Linked DNA regions of Macaca mulatta. The protein of the gene in region 1 purifies or fractionates together with the protein of each later gene. This does not show direct contact. Links are inferred from orthologs where the notes say so. Each region holds a gene or a part of one and is shown on either strand. Other genes may lie near its edges. The genes, in order: CD33 and PTPN6.

Region 1 (8,835 bases):
TTTATTAAAGCATTCATTCGTGTAGACCTGCACTGAGCATGCGCTTTATTCTTAGATGTGCTGTTATGTGGGGATGGAGGATGTTGGAGACAGGGCCCAGGAGAGGTCCCTCCTCCCCATCCTCTCTCTCTCTCTTTCAGGCTCCAGCCAGGGAGCGGGGACTCTGCTGGGGCCAAGGATCAGATGACAGAATCGTAGAAGGAAAGAGCTAGAGGGAAGCATGAGCTTGCTCCTTCTTCTGGAGCTGGGAAATCCATCTGCTCTTGGTTCTCGGGCCTTCATTAAATTCATTAAAGAAACACAGTAAGACTCACATATTCATATTTGATCTTCTGGTCCATGAACATAGTATGACTTTATTGTTAAAACTAAATGTGACTGGGCACAGTGCCTCACGCCCATAGTCAAAGCACTTTGGAGGCCAAGGTGGGAGGATTGTTTGAACCCAGCAGTTCAAGACCAGCCTGGGGAACATAGCAAGACCCCATCTCTCCTAAAAATAAAAACAAAAAATTACTCCAGCCTGGTAGTATGAGCCTGTGGTCCCAGCTACTAGGGAGGATGAGCTGGGAGAGTCACTTGAGCCTGGGAGGTCAAGGCTGCAGTGAGCTGTGATCATGCCAGTGCACTCCAGCCTGGGCAACAGAGCAAGACCCTGTCTTAAAAAAAAAAAAAAAAAGCACTAAATGTACTGAATTTTCCATTATGTGCCGCATGCTAAATAACTTACAACAGATATTATTTACTGGAGACTTAATTTGTTGTATATCAAATGAGGATTCTACCTCTCTATTAGTAAGGACGAATTAAGAGTTATCTAGATACTATTGTGTGTAGAGATTTGACAAAGGTAAGGTGGCAAGTACTAATATGTCCCAGGGATCAAGGGTTGCTGGATGCATACTACACAGAGTGATATGGACAACCACGTAGCTGGACCTAAAGTTTAATTTTCTCTGTACATTCCACTCATGTTGTCTGGAAATATTATGTCTTTGGGCCATATTTAACTGTGAGAAGCAGATTTTTACATGAAAATGTTGATCCATATCATGAGCCTCTAAAAAAACTTGCTTCTGCCCATACTGAACCAAATAGCAGCATGAACACAAAAAAGTTTTTTTCTGCACTGGTTCATAGAACGAACATGTGTTCTCCCTTTTGTTTTACAGGAAGATGCTGCATAGTTCTTATTTTGGAGATGTCATCGACACTGTGCAAAGCAGTGTACTAGCTGCCAGGGGAAAATTCTATAGTCAAATTTCTTTCAAATTTTCCAATATGCTCCCATGACACATGGCAAATTCCCAATTTTTCACAGCTCTAAATCCAGACAGTATATGTGTGTGTGTGGTGAGGACATGAGGCTATGGATGGGGAACATCTCAAGGGCAGGAATCAGGTCAGTGGCATCTCTTCTCAAGCCCCACCTACACACAAAGGCTCAATGTAAGAATTAAAGAAAGAAGAAAGAAACATGTATGGTGGCTCGCCAGTCAAGACAGGTTTTAGAGAAAACAAACCTGAGAGGAGTTTCTGGCTGAGTTAGGTAGAGGCACACTCTCTTACAGACTAAGAGTTTTTAAGGATTTAGGGTGGGAGGGTTTATCAGAGGCTTGGACTGCTTCTGTGTCTCTTTGTTGTGCTTATCTGGGAGGGAGAGTTGTGTATCTGTTCCCATACATCTTTTTGCAGCTGCAGGCATACCCACTGAGTCTGCATTTAGCTTTCCAACTTAGTGCACCTGAAGGCAAAGGAATGTGCTTATTAAGGCCCACTGTTTTACTAGGGCCCATTGGATGAGAGTGAAGTTTGGCAATAACTCAAGAGACTTTCCCCCCAACCTCCCTCTGTGCCTGAGCTGTCTTATCCGTGTTTCACCGGTCTGCTCTTTCTGGCTGCTGGTAGTTAGCAGAGAAGTGATTTCCTTGAAATGCATGAGGCTAGAAAGGGAGTTGGAACTTAAAGTGGCGGTGTTTGTCCGAGATGACAGTGGTCCTGCTCTGTCACTCACTATGTCTTTAGTGAATGGCTGCCACCTTCACTTTACCTAGGACTCTTCTTTGTTTCTCTGCCCCAGACACTCACACAGACCCTATAGAATCCTATATCCTGCTGGACAAATCACCCCATGGATCTAGGCGAGCCTGTGACTCGGGCCAGGCCAGCAGTGACCAGCCCCCATGCAAACAGTTGTTCACAGAAAAGTACCTCAGAGTGGAAGGATTTTAGACATGGGGTTTGCATGTCTCAGATGGCCCCGGAGGTACTGGTCCAGGCTCCGGTGCTCCTGGGAGGCAAGACTCAGATTCTGCTCCATCTCCTCCCCTCTCTGGGCGGATCTCTGGCATCTCTGGCCCATGAGGTTCAATCTGTGTGGAAGGGACAAGCTCTGAGCACGTGTGGGTCTGAGGTTCCTCTTCCATGCAGGGCTGAGGTCTCCTGCTCCTCCCCAGCTTCCTATCCGGCCCCCTAGCCCTTCTCCTCCACTCCTTTCCTGTTCTCTGCTCACACAGGGAGCCCAGGAAACCTCAGCCTCAGACATGCCGCTGCTGCTGCTGCCCCTGCTGTGGGCAGGTGAGTGACTGCTGGGAGGGGGGTTGTCGGGCTGGGCCAAGCTGACCCTCATTTCCCCACAGGGGCCCTGGCTATGGATCCAAGAGTCAGGCTGGAAGTGCAGGAGTCAGTGACAGTACAGGAGGGTTTGTGCGTCCTTGTGCCCTGCACTTTCTTCCATCCCGTACCCTACCACACCAGGAATTCCCCAGTTCATGGTTACTGGTTCCGGGAAGGAGCCATTGTATCCTTGGACTCTCCAGTGGCCACAAACAAGCTAGATCAAGAAGTACGGGAGGAGACCCAGGGCCGATTCCGCCTCCTTGGGGATCCCAGTAGGAACAACTGCTCCCTGAGCATCGTAGATGCCAGGAGGAGGGATAACGGTTCATACTTCTTTCGGATGGAGAAAGGAAGTACCAAATACAGTTACAAATCTACCCAGCTCTCTGTGCATGTGACAGGTGAGGCACAGGCTCCAGAAGTGGTCACAAGGGAAGGTCATGGGTACTACAGGGCAGGGCTGGGATGGGACCCTGGTACTGGGAGGGGTTTAGGGGTAAAGCCTGTCATGCTTAGCAGGGGAGCTTGACCAGAGGTTGATCTTCTCTCAGGCCCTCACCTGGACGCTCCCTCTTGATTCTGCATCCCCCCCCCTGCTTCTTCTCACTAGACTTGACCCACAGGCCCCAAATCCTCATCCCTGGAGCCCTAGACCCTGACCACTCCAAAAACCTGACCTGCTCTGTGCCCTGGGCCTGTGAGCAGGGAACACCTCCAATCTTCTCCTGGATGTCAGCTGCCCCCACCTCCCTGGGCCTCAGGACCACTCACTCCTCGGTGCTCATAATCACCCCACGGCCCCAGGACCACGGCACCAACCTCACCTGTCAGGTGAAGTTCCCTGGAGCTGGCGTGACCACGGAGAGAACCATCCAGCTTAATGTCTCCTGTGAGTGCTGGGCCAGGATGCTCGGGTCCCTGAGTGCGTAGGGGAGACAGGATGGGCTGGTGCTGGGGACATTTCGTGTCCTGGGGACCTGGCTGAGTTCGGCAGTTAGAAGGACATGAGCCCTGTCCCTTCTGCATTTCTGTGGCTTTGGCAGGAGTGAGGGGAAATGCCTACCCTTATTGCATCTCTACTCCCAACTGAAGGAAATCCTCTCTTCCTCTCTTAGATGCTTCACAGAACCCAAGAACTGATATCTTTCTAGGAGACGGCTCAGGTAGGAAGGCGCCTCCCTGCCTGAGGCTGTTACTGGGTTGAGTCTGTGTCACGTTTGGTCAGATCTGGACTTTCAGAGTCAAATGTTCAGAGGCAAGGCCTGCAGTTAGACACAGGTAGACATCGGACACCTTGGATAAGGATATTTGGGGATGACTAGCAACTTCCTCCTTGCCCATCCAAATAATGCTCTTTGTCTCCCTCCTGTCACTGAATGTCTTGGGGTATTTTATTTTTAATTGATACATAATAATAGTACATATTTATGGATGGCATAGTGATGTTTCAATACTAATAACATATAGTAATCAGATCAGGGTAATAGCATATCCGTCATTTTGAACATTTATCATTTCACTGTGTTGGAAACATTCAATATCCCCTCTCTAGCTATTTGAAACTATCTATTATTTTTAACCACAGTCATCCCACAGTGGTATAGAATACCAGAACTTACTCTTCCTTTCCAAGTGTGATCTTGTATCTTTTAACAAATCTCTCTCCTTATCATTGTTCCCCTAACCTTCCCAGCCCTTATTATTCTCTGTTCTACTTTTTACTTCCATGAAATCAACTTTTTTTAGCTTCCACTTATGAGTAAGAACATGTGGTATTTAACTTTGTGTTCCTGGCTTATTTCATTTAACATAATGTCTTCTAGTTCAATCTATGTTATAGTGAATAACAAGATTTCATTATTTTTTATGGCTGAATGATAATCCATTGTGTATATATGCCACATTTCCTTTATTTATTCATCTGTTGTTGGACACTTAGGTTTATTTCATATCTTCCTATTGTGGTTACTGCTGCAATAAACACAGAGGTGCAGACGTTTCTTCAATATACTGATTTCCTTTCCATTATATAAATGCCCAGTAGTGGGATTGCTGGATCATATGGTAGTTCTATTTGTATATTTTTGAGGAAAAAAAACTACATATACTAGTAGTGGTTATACTAGTTTACATTCTGGTCAAAAGCATTTAAGAATTCCCTCTTCTCTACATCCTCACCATCATTTGTTAATTTTCATCTTTTTTTTTATCATAGTCCTCCCAACTGGGGTGACGTTACTTCATTGTGGTTTTGATTTGCATTTCCCTGGTGATTGGTGATGCTGAGCATTTTTCATATATTTGTTGGCCATCTGTATATCTTCTCTAGAGAAATGTCTACTCAGATAATTTGCCCATTTTTAAATCAGATTGGGTGTCTTTGCCATTGAGATGCATGAGTTCCTTGTATATTGTGTATATGAATCATTTGTCAGATGAATAGCTGACAAATATTTTCTCCTATTCTGTAGGTTGCCTTTTCACTCTGTTGATTGTTTCCTTTGCTGCATAGAAGCTTTTTAGCTTGACATTATCTTGTTTATTTGCTTTTGCTTTTGTTACTTGTGCTTGCGAGGTCTTACTCATAGAATATTTTTCCAGACCAATGTCCTACAGCATTTCCCCTATGTTTTCTTCTAGTATGTTTATATTTTTGTGTCTTACATTAAGGTCTTCAATCCATTTTGAATTGATTTTTGCATAGGATGAGAGGTGTGAGTCTAGTTTCATTCTTCTGCATATGGCACCAGTTTTTCCAGCATCATTTATTGAAGAGACTGAGTGGGACCATAAGACTCTTCCTCCAGCTGGAAGTACAGGCAGCAGGGATTGGTTTCTCTGCTGTTCAGGACCAGAGTTCCAGCCAATCCTGGGCCCAGGCTCCATGCAGCTCTAATTGTGGTATTCAGCCATTACTGCAGGCTTAGTGGAACGAAGATGGAGTTACAGTGATGAAGAGGTGTGTGGCCACTGGCCCCCAGAGGAGGGTACACTCCAGAGACGGCTGTGGTCTCGAGATGGTACTGTGTCGCAGCAGCTTGCCCACAGGGGCTGGTTAGGGAGTTGGGAGTGCACACCGTGTGCTCCTAATCCAGAACCATGCAGCTGCATGAATTCCTGGCAGCTCTTCCAACGGTGCTCAGAGCTTGTGAGGACTGCAGGATTAACCTGTAGTAAGGAATGTAGGTATCTGCAGTGGGCACTGGGGGTTGGTTGTATTCTTCTGCTTCTCATTTCCCTACAAGGGGAAATCCTTCCTGTCTCTGGGACAAACCAATCTGGGCTGGGGAGAGGGAGCTGCAAAGTCTGGGTGCCTCCATGCTGCCCTCCTGGGCTTCCAATTACCACAGGTAACTCTCCACTCCCCTGCTGCACTACAGTACTCTGCCTTCGACACTCCACTCAAATCTCTGCTGTTTATTCATTGCCTTGGCCCTTTCCTGCCCGGGGGGATGGGGGAGGATGAGTTCCAGGCACCTCTGGTCAGCCATTTTGCTCCAATGGGAGCATTTTTTTAATAGGTTTTATTTTTCAGAGTAGTGTTCGTTTCACAGCAAAATTGAGTGGAATCTTCTAGTCGCTGAACATCTTGGGAGCATTTATAAATGAACTTTATTTTTCATGAAAAAATTGAGCAGAAGGTACAAAGACTTCCCATATGCCCTCTACCCTTACACATAGTTTCCCTGGCCATCAGCATCCCCCATCAAAATGGTACATTTGTTACAATCAATAAACCTACATTGACATATCATTGTCACCTGAAGCCCATAGTTTACATTAAAGTTCACTGTTGGTGTTGTACATTTTACAGGTTTCTAAAAAATGTATGATGACATGAATCCACCATGAGAGTATCATATAGAATAGTCACACTTCCCCAAAAATCTCTTTAGGGCATTTTTTTTTTTTTTCTATTGTCCATACCTCAACCCTTACCCCTGACCTCTGTCCAAAGTGCTCACTCCACTGCCTTATTCCAATTAATAATGGCCTGGTCCCTCAGAGGACAGTGAACCCAGTGAGGGCAGGAATAGTTCCCTCAGTAGTTGTCATCAAACTGTTGACAGATGATGCTCAGAGAAACGCCCCTGACTCTGAGTGTTGGGATCTAGAAGGTACAGCCAGGCAGGTCCAGGAGAACTATCTGGGTCTAAGAAGGTCTGAGAACCACCTCCCTGCCCCACCCTGATTCCAGGCACTTTTGAAGGCCAAAAGGAGCACCTTTGACCCTGAGTGATGGGGCCAGTGGGAAGAAAGAAGAGACAAGGCCTATCAGCATTCCAGTGCTTACTCTCTCTCTCTCTCTCTCTCTTTCTCTCTCTCTCTCTCTGTCATCCAAGAGGCTCAGAGCTTCACAGTCCTTCAGTGGCCGTTTCTGAGGTTCATTTCAGAGAGACCGAGGGTGGAGAGGAACCTGGGTCCTAGGAGAGATGGTGTTTTGTGCACTGGAGAGAGAAGGTGGGACAAGAGGTGTCAGGTGTACTGTGTACTTCGTCTCACGGTCATGGTCAATATTCATGTCTATGATGGATGGGAGGATCTAGGAGCCAAACCCCATTTTGGAGGTGAAGTCATCCCTCTCTACATGCTGGAGAGGAGGATACACATACCTGTTTATCCAGATTAGAGTTCACCCCATGTCTTTTTTGTCTGCAGGGAAACAAGGAGTGGTTCAGGGAGCCATCGGGGGAGCTGGTGTCACAGTCCTGCTCGCTCTTTGTCTCTGCCTCATCTTCTTCACGTGAGCATTTTCTCTGGGTCAGGCGTGGACCAGAGGTGGAGAGGATGGACCTCGTGTAGAAGGGTCCTGGAGGGGCTGTGAGGGCTGGAGAAAGGGCAGGGGGTGTGGTAATCTACAGAATCTAGCCTGTAGCCACTGGGCTAGGCATGGGTCTATGCTAGGGCCCTGGTCTCAGATGTCCAAGGAGTGGGAGGTAGAGGAAGACCTTGTTACTAAGTTTTGTTTGAAGGCTCCTGGATTAATTCCACCCCTTACCTGCCAAAGTCCCTCATTCCAGGCTCATAACAATGGCCCCACAGCCTGAGAAAACCAGGCTCAAAGACCCTGGTGTCTCCCATCAGAGTGAAGACTCACAGGAGGAAAGCAGCCAGGACAGCAGTGGGCAGGATCGACACCCACCCCGCCACAGGGCCAACATCCTCGGTGAGTGATGGGGCATGCTGGCATCCAGGATGCCCTGCAGACACCTCCTCCCAACATGGCCCACAGTCATGCCCCATTCAGCATTTCCAGAACTGAGCTTATTGTCTTTCCTCCTGTTTAACAGTGTAAGTTTTTTTGTTTTGTTTTGTTTTTGTTCTTTTGAGACAGAGTCCCGCTCTGTCACCCAGGCTGAAGTGCAGTAGCACAACCTCGGCTCACTGCAAGCTCCGCCTACCAGGTTCAAGCCACTATCCTGCCTCAGCCTCCCGAGTAGCTGGGACTACAGGCACCCACCACCATGCCCAGCTAATTTTTTGTATTTTTAGTAGAGACAGGGTTTCATCGTGTTAGCCAGGATGGTCTCGATCTCCTGACCTCGTGATCCGCCCACCTAGGCCTCCCAAAGTGCTGGGATTACAGGCATGAGCCACCATGCCTGGCCCCAACAGTGTAGGTTTTAATGTTATTCAGGTATGTTGAGGCCAACAGATCAGGAGATTATGGCCATTGAAAAGACAGTTTCTTGGCCGGGCGCAGTGGCTCATGCCTGTAATCCCAGCACTTTGAGAGGCTGAGTTGGATGGATCATGAGGTCAGGAGATTGAGGCCATCCTGGCTAACACGGTGAAATCCCATCTCTACTAAAAATACAAAATAATTAGCCAGGCATGGTGGTGGGCACCTGTAGTCCCAGCTACTTGGGAGGCTGAGGCAGGAGAATGGTGTGAACCCGGGAGGTAGAGCTTGCAGTGAGCCGAGATCGTGCCCCTGCACTCCAGCGTGGGCAACAGAGCAAGACTCTCTCTCAAAGAAAAAAAAAAAAAAAAGATAGTTTCTTATTCACTGTTCCCAAGAGGAGAGGGTGCACCACACCATGCAAGACCATATAGAAAAGCACCAGGGTCAGTCAGGAAGCAGAGGGAGCAAGGGGAAAATGGGACCAGAGCCTTTACTGTGGCTTTCATCGAAAATAATGGGTAAGACTAGGGTAAGCAAGCTAGGCAGGTTTAGGATTGGCTACTTTGAACAATTTCAGCAGACTCTGGGGT
Region 2 (8,835 bases), on another chromosome or scaffold:
CATGGACAAAACGCATATGTTGGTTACAGAAGTGCACCCTTCTCTCTTGCAAGCACTGGCAAGGTCTTAACTATCAGTCTCCCACTCCCATGGCAGCCCCTTTGCACAAGGAGGCTCTTAATCTCTGTTCTTTGAAGCCCTGAGGGCTGGTGTATAGGAGTTCAAAGCATTGGCTTTGGAACCGGCCTGTCTGGGTTTGAATGCTGGCACTGCAGCTGACTCACTGAGGGACTCAGGCAATGCCTTACCCTTCCTGAGCCTCAGGTTCCTTGTCTGTGAGATGATAAAGATAGCCCCTATTTCATAGGGCTGTGGTGAGAAATCAATCAGACGAGGCATGTGAACGCCATTATAGCACAGCACCCGGCATCCAGCAGGACTCACTCGCTGACAGCTGTCACCGCCATCATTGTCATTAGCGTGGGCCAGGGAGGGCTGTGTAAAAGCAGCTGGTGGAGGAGGAAGAGATGCCGTGTGAGCGTCTCGGTTCACATGCATGAAGTATGATCTGGGCCTGGAGTGTGCAGTGCACACGTGTGTCCTTACTGCATGTGTTGTCACATGTGTGCAATGCCATGCTCCTAAGCCTTTGATTGCAGACGTGTGGGAAGTGGGCCCCGTCCCCACCCCCAGTGCCACCGTGCTCTGCTTCTCTTCCCTTGCTCTGCTCTAAAACGAGAAGTGCAAGTGAGTTCCCCCAAGGGGTCGGCCGCGCCTCTTCCTGTCCCCGCCCTGCCGGCCGCCCCAGGCCAGTGGAGTGGCAGCCCCAGAACTGGGACCACTAGGGGTGGTGAAGCGGCCTGGCACTGGGAGCTGCATTTGAGGCTTAGTCCCTGAGTTCTCCGCCTGCCCAGACTAGCTGCACCTCCTCATTCCCTGCGCCCCCTTCCTCTCCGGAAGCCCCCAGGATGGTGAGGTAAGGGCCTGCCACCCACGGTAGACAGGAGGCAAGGGTGCCTGGTGCCCACGGGACCCCTCCTCACTGCCCTGCCTGGGCCGCCCAGGTGGTTTCACCGAGACCTCAGTGGGCTGGATGCAGAGACCCTGCTCAAGGGCCGAGGTGTCCATGGCAGCTTCCTGGCTCGGCCCAGTCGCAAGAACCAGGGTGACTTCTCACTCTCTGTCAGGTAGGTGCCCCCACCCCCGGCGTTTTGGCCACTGTCTTGTGCCATCCAGGCCCTGAACCACTCACTCCTGGTTCTCCGTGGCAGTGCCGACTCCCCGACCCCCACGTCCCGTCTGTGCCCTCGCGCCCCACCCCCGCCCTCCCCACCCCTGTCTGTGCCCACCCATGCCCATGTGTGCCCCCACCCAGGACCTCAGCCGATCCCTGCCCTCCTGCTTTACTCCTGCACCGACTGGCCTCACCGCCTGGTGCCCTGCAGGGTGGGGGATCAGGTGACCCATATTCGGATCCAGAACTCAGGGGATTTCTATGACCTGTATGGAGGGGAGAAGTTCGCGACGCTGACAGAGCTGGTGGAGTACTACACTCAGCAGCAGGGCGTCCTGCAAGACCGCGACGGCACCATCATCCACCTCAAGTACCCGCTGAACTGCTCCGATCCCACCAGTGAGAGGTGAGGCCTCTGTACCCCCGCCACTCGCAAGCAGGGGTGAGTCGGCTCCCGCCCTGAGCGGCCAGGGAGACAGGGAGCCTGGCACCCGGCACTGCCTGCCCTCCATCCCCTCCCCTCCCCGCACCGGCTGGGGCTCTCAGTGTCCCTCCTTCATGCTGTCCTGTGGCCTGGTGTCTCAGAGCCTAACCTACCACCCTTTCCACCTAACCCCGAGGAAGCCAAAGAAAGCTGCCTTGCCCTATACCAGGGGCCCTGGCCGCTGCAGCCCAGGTCCCACTAGACACAGGGAGGCCACTGCTGGTGGCCAGCATATCGTGCCGGCCAGCTCTGTTGTTAGAAAGCTCTTCTTCCTCTGGAAGCCAGCCTGCCCTCCTCCGTCTGCCTCTCACCCCAGTGCATGTCAGGACAGTGAGGAGCTGACACTGCGGATGAGGATGGGGATGAACGGTTGCCAGGACGCTTGACACCTTGTCCCAGCCGCCCAGTGGGGATGGGTCTGTCCTGTGGGGTCAAATACAGAGATCACTGAAAGCAGGATGTGAAGTGTTCACCTGTGTAAAGGGTCTCACACTGTCTCAGGCACAGAATAATACTCCAGGCATTTCCTTCCTGTGCCCTCCTCGACTCCTCCTGTGGTCTTCCAAAGGCATGGATGGGGGGCTGGGGAGCTTTGAACACTCCTCAGGACACCATAGCTCCTTCCAGCAGCCACATCTCAATGCCAGATCCTCTTAAAGGGCAGCGGAATAACGCTAGGGGGTTTTCACACGGACCCCTGGGCCAAGCCGACTTGCCCTTGCCCTGCATTCGTGGATCGATTGTTGAAATGATTGGGAAACTTGCTTCTGCCAGCTTGCAGCCTTTCTTAGATTCGGGCCTCCAAACTGCCTCAATATTTTTGGTCAGGTCACTGATTGAAACTTAGAGCTGGATTCGGTCGCGGTACAGCCCTGTGGCCCACCTGGGAGGCCTCCTTTCCTGGATCTGCCTCCTTCAAGGCCTTCCTCATCTGAGCCTCACATGGCTGGCTCTATGTCTGCCCCCTGCCCTTCCTCTTCCCCACTGCAACACTCAGGGGGCTTCTGCCAGCGAGACCCTCTAAAGCTCATGTCCTCTGTTTCTCCTTGCCTCAAGCTAGGAGGAGGAGGACGGGCTGACCAGTGCCTAGAGTTGGAAGAGAGGAGCAGGGCCCCAGGAGGCCCCTGCAGAGGAGGCTGAGGCCTGGGTTCAAAGAGAAGAGAGAGAAGGAAGGGAGGGCAGTGCTGGGGCAGGAGGTTAAGACCGGGGAAGCCACACAGAAGGCCCTTTTGGGTGACCCATCCCAGGAGCCAGTGTCACCCCCGAACCTGGGAGTGTGTGAGAGACTTTCTCCCAGGTTCTGCTGTGTCCCCTGCCTTGTCTGTGGCACCTCCTTCTCTGCGGGAATTTGCATCTGTCCCTCGGTGGCTCTGCGCTTCCTGTGGTCAGCCTGACATTTGCATGGAGACTTCCTCATCCTGGGGCCCAAGGGAAGGGGCTCAGCCCCCTCCCTGCTGCCTGGGGTCCTAGCCTGTCCCCAGGTGGTGGGCTGAAGTGGCCTAATGGGGTATGGAGGCTCTGGGGGGTCTCTCAGCTGGAGTCACCTCTGGGCAGGGGTGAGATGGGTTGGGACAGACTGGTCCTCCCCTCTTCCCCCCATCCCTGCGGTTGGAAAATTTGCCCGCCCTCCCCTTGTCCCTGGGCTGAGGAAACCTCACAACCTCACTTCTCACTCTCTCCCCAGAAGGAGTTTTGTGTTTTTTCCATCACGTGGTTTCCTGTGGGGCAGGGCATTGTGGGGCTACAGTTTCCTCCTGGGAAAGGGGTGTGCTTTGGGGAAAGGGCTTAGTTCTGCTTTCTGCCCCGACAGCCCCTTTGAATCCCTTTGAACCCTTTTGAACCCTGGGCTCCCCTTCAGTGACATCATCCAGGGCACCCCAGAGCCCCCTACACCACTCTTTCCCCAGTGGGGTTGTCCTCCCCGCCTCCCTGGGGGAGCGCACCCCATTGGCCTTCCTTGTGACTTGTGTCTCTCTGTCCATCTCCCGCCACTCCCTGTGGTGTGGCCTTGGTCTGTGTTTCTCTTTGCCTCTGGTCTCTGCCGGGGCACAGCCTGATCCTTCATGGAGACTCTTCCTTAGTTTCCCTCTTCCAAATATTTGGAATATTGCCAGCCCTTCTGCCTTTCAGAGGTGGTCTCTGGGTTCAAAGCCTGGTCAGAATTCTGGGGGCTAAGATAGCTTGAGCCTGGGAGGTCAAGGCTGCAGAGAGCAATAACCGTGCCCCTGCACTCCAGCCTGGGCAACAGAGCTCGGGAGGCTTGCCTTGGAGTCCATCAGGGGCCCTAGGCCAGTGAGTAACAGCTCAGCGTCAGTTTCCTCATCTATAAAATGGGGGTAATATCATACCCAGCCCTCAGCATGTTTGTGAGAGGCATCAATACGATGGTGGATTTGGAACCATCTAGCGCAGTGCCTGGCCACAGTAGGTGCTTGATTTCCTGCCCCTCTCTGTGAATATCTTTGCTCAGCACCTTCCCCTGTGGCCTGGGTCTCACCTTCCCTGACGCTGCCTTCTGTAGGTGGTACCATGGCCACATGTCTGGAGGGCAGGCAGAGACGCTGCTGCAGGCCAAGGGCGAGCCCTGGACATTTCTTGTGCGTGAGAGCCTCAGCCAGCCTGGAGATTTTGTGCTATCTGTGCTTAGTGACCAGCCCAAGGCTGGCCCAGGCTCCCCGCTCAGGGTCACCCACATCAAGGTCATGTGTGAGGTAAGGCAGCCAGGTGGTGGGGGAGCCTCTGCTGAGGCTCCTGTCTGTGACCGCAGTGTGGGTGGCAGGGAGGGTCTGCCTGGGCTTGAATTCAAGGCTGGGGCTCAGGGAGGGAGACTCGAGCCCTGTGAGTGGCCTTATTTGGCTCCCTCCAGGGTGGACGCTACACAGTGGGTGGTTCAGAGACCTTCGACAGCCTCACGGACCTGGTGGAGCACTTCAAGAAGACGGGGATTGAGGAGGCCTCAGGTGCCTTTGTCTACCTGCGGCAGGTCAGGCGGGGACCCAGCTGCTTCCTCCCTTCCCCTGAGCTGTCCCCCAGGTGTGAGCTTCTGAGACCTCTGAGTTGCTGACTTCTCGCTCTCCCCTATCCCAGCCGTACTACGCCACGAGGGTGAATGCGGCTGACATTGAGAACCGAGTCTTGGAACTGAACAAGAAGAAGGAGTCCGAGGATACAGCCAAGGCTGGCTTCTGGGAGGAGTTTGAGGTGCATGGTGGGGAACTGGCAGGGCTGGGGCAGCTGAGGCGGTGGCGGCCGCGTGGGGCCCCAGGCGGACACCTTCCTCCCCTTGCCCACCTCTGCTCCTGACCCACCCCACGTGAGCTCCCCTGATGGGTGCTCTCTCTGGGAGGTGATGCTCATTTCCTCACCCACATCTCAGAGTTTGCAGAAGCAGGAGGTGAAGAACTTGCACCAGCGTCTGGAAGGGCAGCGGCCAGAGAACAAGGGCAAGAACCGCTATAAGAACATTCTGCCCTGTGAGCACCCAGCCTGCCCCATTCACCCAGGAGACCGCCCCACCCCAGCCACTGCCCCTGCCCCATTCACCCAGGAGACCTCCCCTGCTGCAGCCGCTGCCCCTGCCCCATTCACCCAGGAGACTGCCCCGCCCCAGCCGCCACCCCTGCCCCATTCACCCACCCAGGAGACCGCCCCGCTCCAGCCGCCGCCCCTATCTCACAGGTCTCCACCCTCCACTCCAGGAGGGGCCACCTCCCCACACCCCTTCTCCAAAAGGCCTCTACTCCTCCCAGAAGTGCCTCCCCACCATCAGCAGGCAGGCTGCCCCTTGCTCCCAACCTCCTTCTTGTGAATCCCCTCACTCCCTCCGTACAGATGATCCCCCACCCCTGCTGCCCACAGTCCCCCGCAAGCCTCATGGCTTCTGAGACCAGAACGGCCTGTTAGCTCAGGAGGGTCTGACGCAGGTGTGGTGAGTCCCTGGCTGACCCAGGCCATCTCGCCTCCTCTCCACCCACTCCCAGTTGACCACAGCCGAGTGATCCTACAGGGACGTGACAGTAACATCCCGGGGTCCGACTATATCAATGCCAACTACATCAAGGTCAGTGGTGTGGGTCATGTGGGAGGAGAGGCTGGGCCCTGGGAATTCCCTGTCTGGTGGGGGACCCTAGATCCAGAGACACCTGGGCAAAGCCAAAGCTGGCTTCTTGCATGGGTGAGGGGAGCAGTGGTTCAGGCCCTGTGCTGGGCTGAGGGGCTCACTGTTTTGGGGTGCGTCTCTCCACGCTTGTGTCCAGAACCAGCTGCTAGGCCCTGATGAGAACACTAAGACCTACATCGCCAGCCAGGGCTGTCTAGAGGCCACGGTCAACGACTTCTGGCAGATGGCGTGGCAGGAGAACACCCGCGTCATCGTCATGACCACCCGAGAGGTGGAGAAAGGCCGGGTAGGGCACCCCGCCCCATCCCCACATCCTTGCCCCGTCCTTGTGGTCATACCATTAAGTCAAAGAACCGTCAGATGCCAGAGCAGAAAGGGATCTCGGGGGTGAGGGTCCAGCCTTGTTGGGAAACTGAGGGCTAGTGACAAAGTCTCGACTACACGATGCAACCCCCAGATCCCTGCATGCACCCCTGGGCTCTTCTGAGCTCCAGACCCAGGTTTTAGGCTGTCCTCCTTCCTCCTACACCTTCCCCACCTGTCTGCATCCAGGCCCCTCCTGTCCTCCCTGCCCCATAGATGTCTGTGGAGTCTGCCCCTCACTCTGCAGCCTCCCCTTACACAGCACCCTCTGTGCTGCCGTTGAAGTGATGCCATCCGTGACAAACTGGGTCGAGTTCCTTCCCCTCTGAAATCTCTTCCATGGCTCCTGGTCACCTTTGGGATAAAGTCACACTCGAAGGCCTGGCGTTCAAGGCCTGGTGGTTTCCCTCTGACTCCCACGCTTCTCTTGAAGGCTCACCGCTTCCAGCAGCCGCGGCTCTTTCAGGTTCCCAGCCTTTCTTTGCACAAGCTCTTTTCTGCTAGGAAATGACTCTGTCTCCACACTGTCTCCGCCCGGCAGATGCCTCGTGTTTGAAGACACAGCTGAAGCGCTGCCTTCTCTGTGAATTCAGGTCTTGTTTTCTCCAGGACCTAGAGGGCGAGTTTCCTCGTTCCCAGCCACGCTCCTCAGCGCGGCGTCTCCCCGGTCACTTGTCTCTGTGAGCTCCTCCAGGCACAGGGGCACAGACTGGGTGTTAGCTGTGTCTGTGACTACAGCCTGGTTTGCACGGCTTCGGGGACAACGCCTGCCTCGGCAATGTTTGTTGAATGACAAATGGATGTACCAGTAAAGCGGCTGGCCAGGTCGCACCACCTGTTGGTGGCTGATCTGAGACGAGAGCCCAGGTCTCCTGCCTCTCTGCCAGCTCATCTATCCATCCAACAAACGTTTGGGCCGGTGCCAGGCACTCAGAACCTAGAGCGGGACCTGGGATGGGCCACAGCGCCCTGCTCTGTGCCTCATCCCCACCCGACCCTCCCTTTCCAGAACAAATGTGTCCCATACTGGCCCGAGGTGGGCACTCAGCGCGTTTATGGGCCCTACTCTGTGACCAACTGCGGGGAGCATGACACGACCGAATACAAACTCCGCACCTTACACGTCTCCCCACTGGACAATGTGAGCGGCCCCCACTCCCTGCCCTGCTCCGGGAGTCCCTCCCGGACTTGTTCTCCTCTCTGGTGGGGTAGGGCGAGACAGGTGGGGTGTTCCGAGGGAGCAGGGGGCACTGACCCTGTGTCCTCGGCCCAGGGGGACCTCATTCGGGAGATCTGGCATTACCAGTACCTGAGCTGGCCCGACCATGGGGTCCCCAGTGAGCCTGGGGGTGTCCTCAGCTTCCTGGACCAGATCAACCAGCGGCAGGAAAGTCTGCCTCATGCAGGGCCCATCATCGTGCACTGCAGGTGAGGATGATAATCCTGATGGTAGTAGTGGCCGCTGAGAAGTAAATACTGCTAAGTGCCATGAGCGTTATAAGCAACATACACGTTAGCTCACACGATTAGTGCCTTCCGCTCACTCCCAGCTTCTTCTGGGTCCCCTCATGGCTCCAGACCCCTGGGTGGAACGTGGCTGGAACCAGCCCCACTTTGGCCCTCTGCCTGTGGTTGTCTTCCTCAGAGCCCTCCCCAGATGTACCATCTCGCCCAACCCTGCCAAATACAGAGGAGGAACCTGGGACCCAGTTGCTGGCCAGGCCCAAGCTAGGCAGGGCAAGGCCGGGCAGGCACCCACAGTAGGCCTGGGTCCTGGCTGCTCCGCTTTCTCTCCAGGTCTCACTCCGTTGGTTTCTTCTCGCCTCCCAGGAACATCCATGGGGCTTGTGCTCCCCGTTCCTCCTCTTTTTCCATCGGTAGACCCAGGGCTTTGGCTTGTTCCTGACTCCGCCCTCTCTCCCAGCTTCCCCAGGCGGCGCCCCATCCTGGCCCCCAGGGCTGTGTGGGGATGGACAATGCCTTTTTGGGGGTGCACATAGCTCCTCTATCTACCCTCATGTTTGTGATCAGGAGACCCTGGTAAGGTGCAGAGGTGGGGGCCTCAAGGAGGAGCAGGGGTCCCACAGATGAGCCCACTGAGCCCGCCTGGCCTGGGTGGATGAGAGGCAGCGGGTGCAGGGCCCCTCCGCTTACCAGCTGCGTGATCTTGGACAAATTACTTAACTTTTCTAACCCTCAGCTTCCTCCTCTGTAAAATCAGGACCTCAGGGTTGTAGTGAGAACTCAATGAGACCCTGTCGTTGCGGCTGGAATTCCGTCAGCCCTCAAACACGGGGCGCTGTTACTGGTTTAGTAACTCACGTCAGGCAGAGAATGGGGGAAATGAGAACCTGCCTTGCTCTGGTCCCTTCCCACTCCCACCGTGGACCCCAGGCCTGCGACAGTCTCTGGCTTCCTCCTCTTCCCCCAGCAGCTGTTTGTCCTGGGACAAGTCAGCTGAATCTAGAGGTGCCCCCGATGGGCTGTCTCGGGGACCCGGCTCTGTCCTCTGCTCTCTCAGAGACAGGCCCATCCCCGAGAGCTACCCTCCTGCTCACCCGCCACACACACATCACACACTTCTTGGAAGCCCCGTGGCCTTTATTTAGACGTTACAGGAAGGAAGTGGGTGTGGGGGGTTATTTTTGACAATCTGGGTTTGAAATTAGACAGTGCGACTCAGGGCATCAGCCT

Evidence for each region.
Region 2: the proteins of CD33 (region 1) and PTPN6 purify together in Homo sapiens (co-immunoprecipitation; 4 studies listed by BioGRID and IntAct, with this or other methods). This does not show direct contact. The link is inferred for Macaca mulatta from reciprocal best matches to the Homo sapiens genes CD33 and PTPN6.

Annotation. Positions count from the first base shown.
Region 1 is NC_133424.1:63,508,453-63,517,287, forward strand, and holds part of CD33 (myeloid cell surface antigen CD33), read left to right. Parts: intron 1-140; 5' UTR 141-303; intron 304-1,172; 5' UTR 1,173-1,369; coding exon 1,370-1,402; intron 1,403-2,382; exon of another isoform or gene 2,383-2,516; coding exon 2,517-2,577; intron 2,578-2,639; coding exon 2,640-3,020; intron 3,021-3,229; coding exon 3,230-3,508; intron 3,509-3,734; coding exon 3,735-3,782; intron 3,783-7,278; coding exon 7,279-7,363; intron 7,364-7,704; coding exon 7,705-7,786; intron 7,787-8,257; coding exon of another isoform or gene 8,258-8,266; exon of another isoform or gene 8,267-8,401; intron 8,402-8,835. UniProt on the Homo sapiens protein: Sialic-acid-binding immunoglobulin-like lectin (Siglec) that plays a role in mediating cell-cell interactions and in maintaining immune cells in a resting state.
Region 2 is NC_133416.1:7,923,804-7,932,638, forward strand, and holds part of PTPN6 (tyrosine-protein phosphatase non-receptor type 6), read left to right. Parts: intron 1-307; exon of another isoform or gene 308-908; coding exon of another isoform or gene 909-916; intron 917-1,004; coding exon 1,005-1,127; intron 1,128-1,385; coding exon 1,386-1,580; intron 1,581-4,179; coding exon 4,180-4,369; intron 4,370-4,524; coding exon 4,525-4,641; intron 4,642-4,745; coding exon 4,746-4,859; intron 4,860-5,034; coding exon 5,035-5,131; intron 5,132-5,638; coding exon 5,639-5,718; intron 5,719-5,914; coding exon 5,915-6,064; intron 6,065-7,150; coding exon 7,151-7,282; intron 7,283-7,414; coding exon 7,415-7,569; intron 7,570-8,835. UniProt on the Homo sapiens protein: Tyrosine phosphatase enzyme that plays important roles in controlling immune signaling pathways and fundamental physiological processes such as hematopoiesis.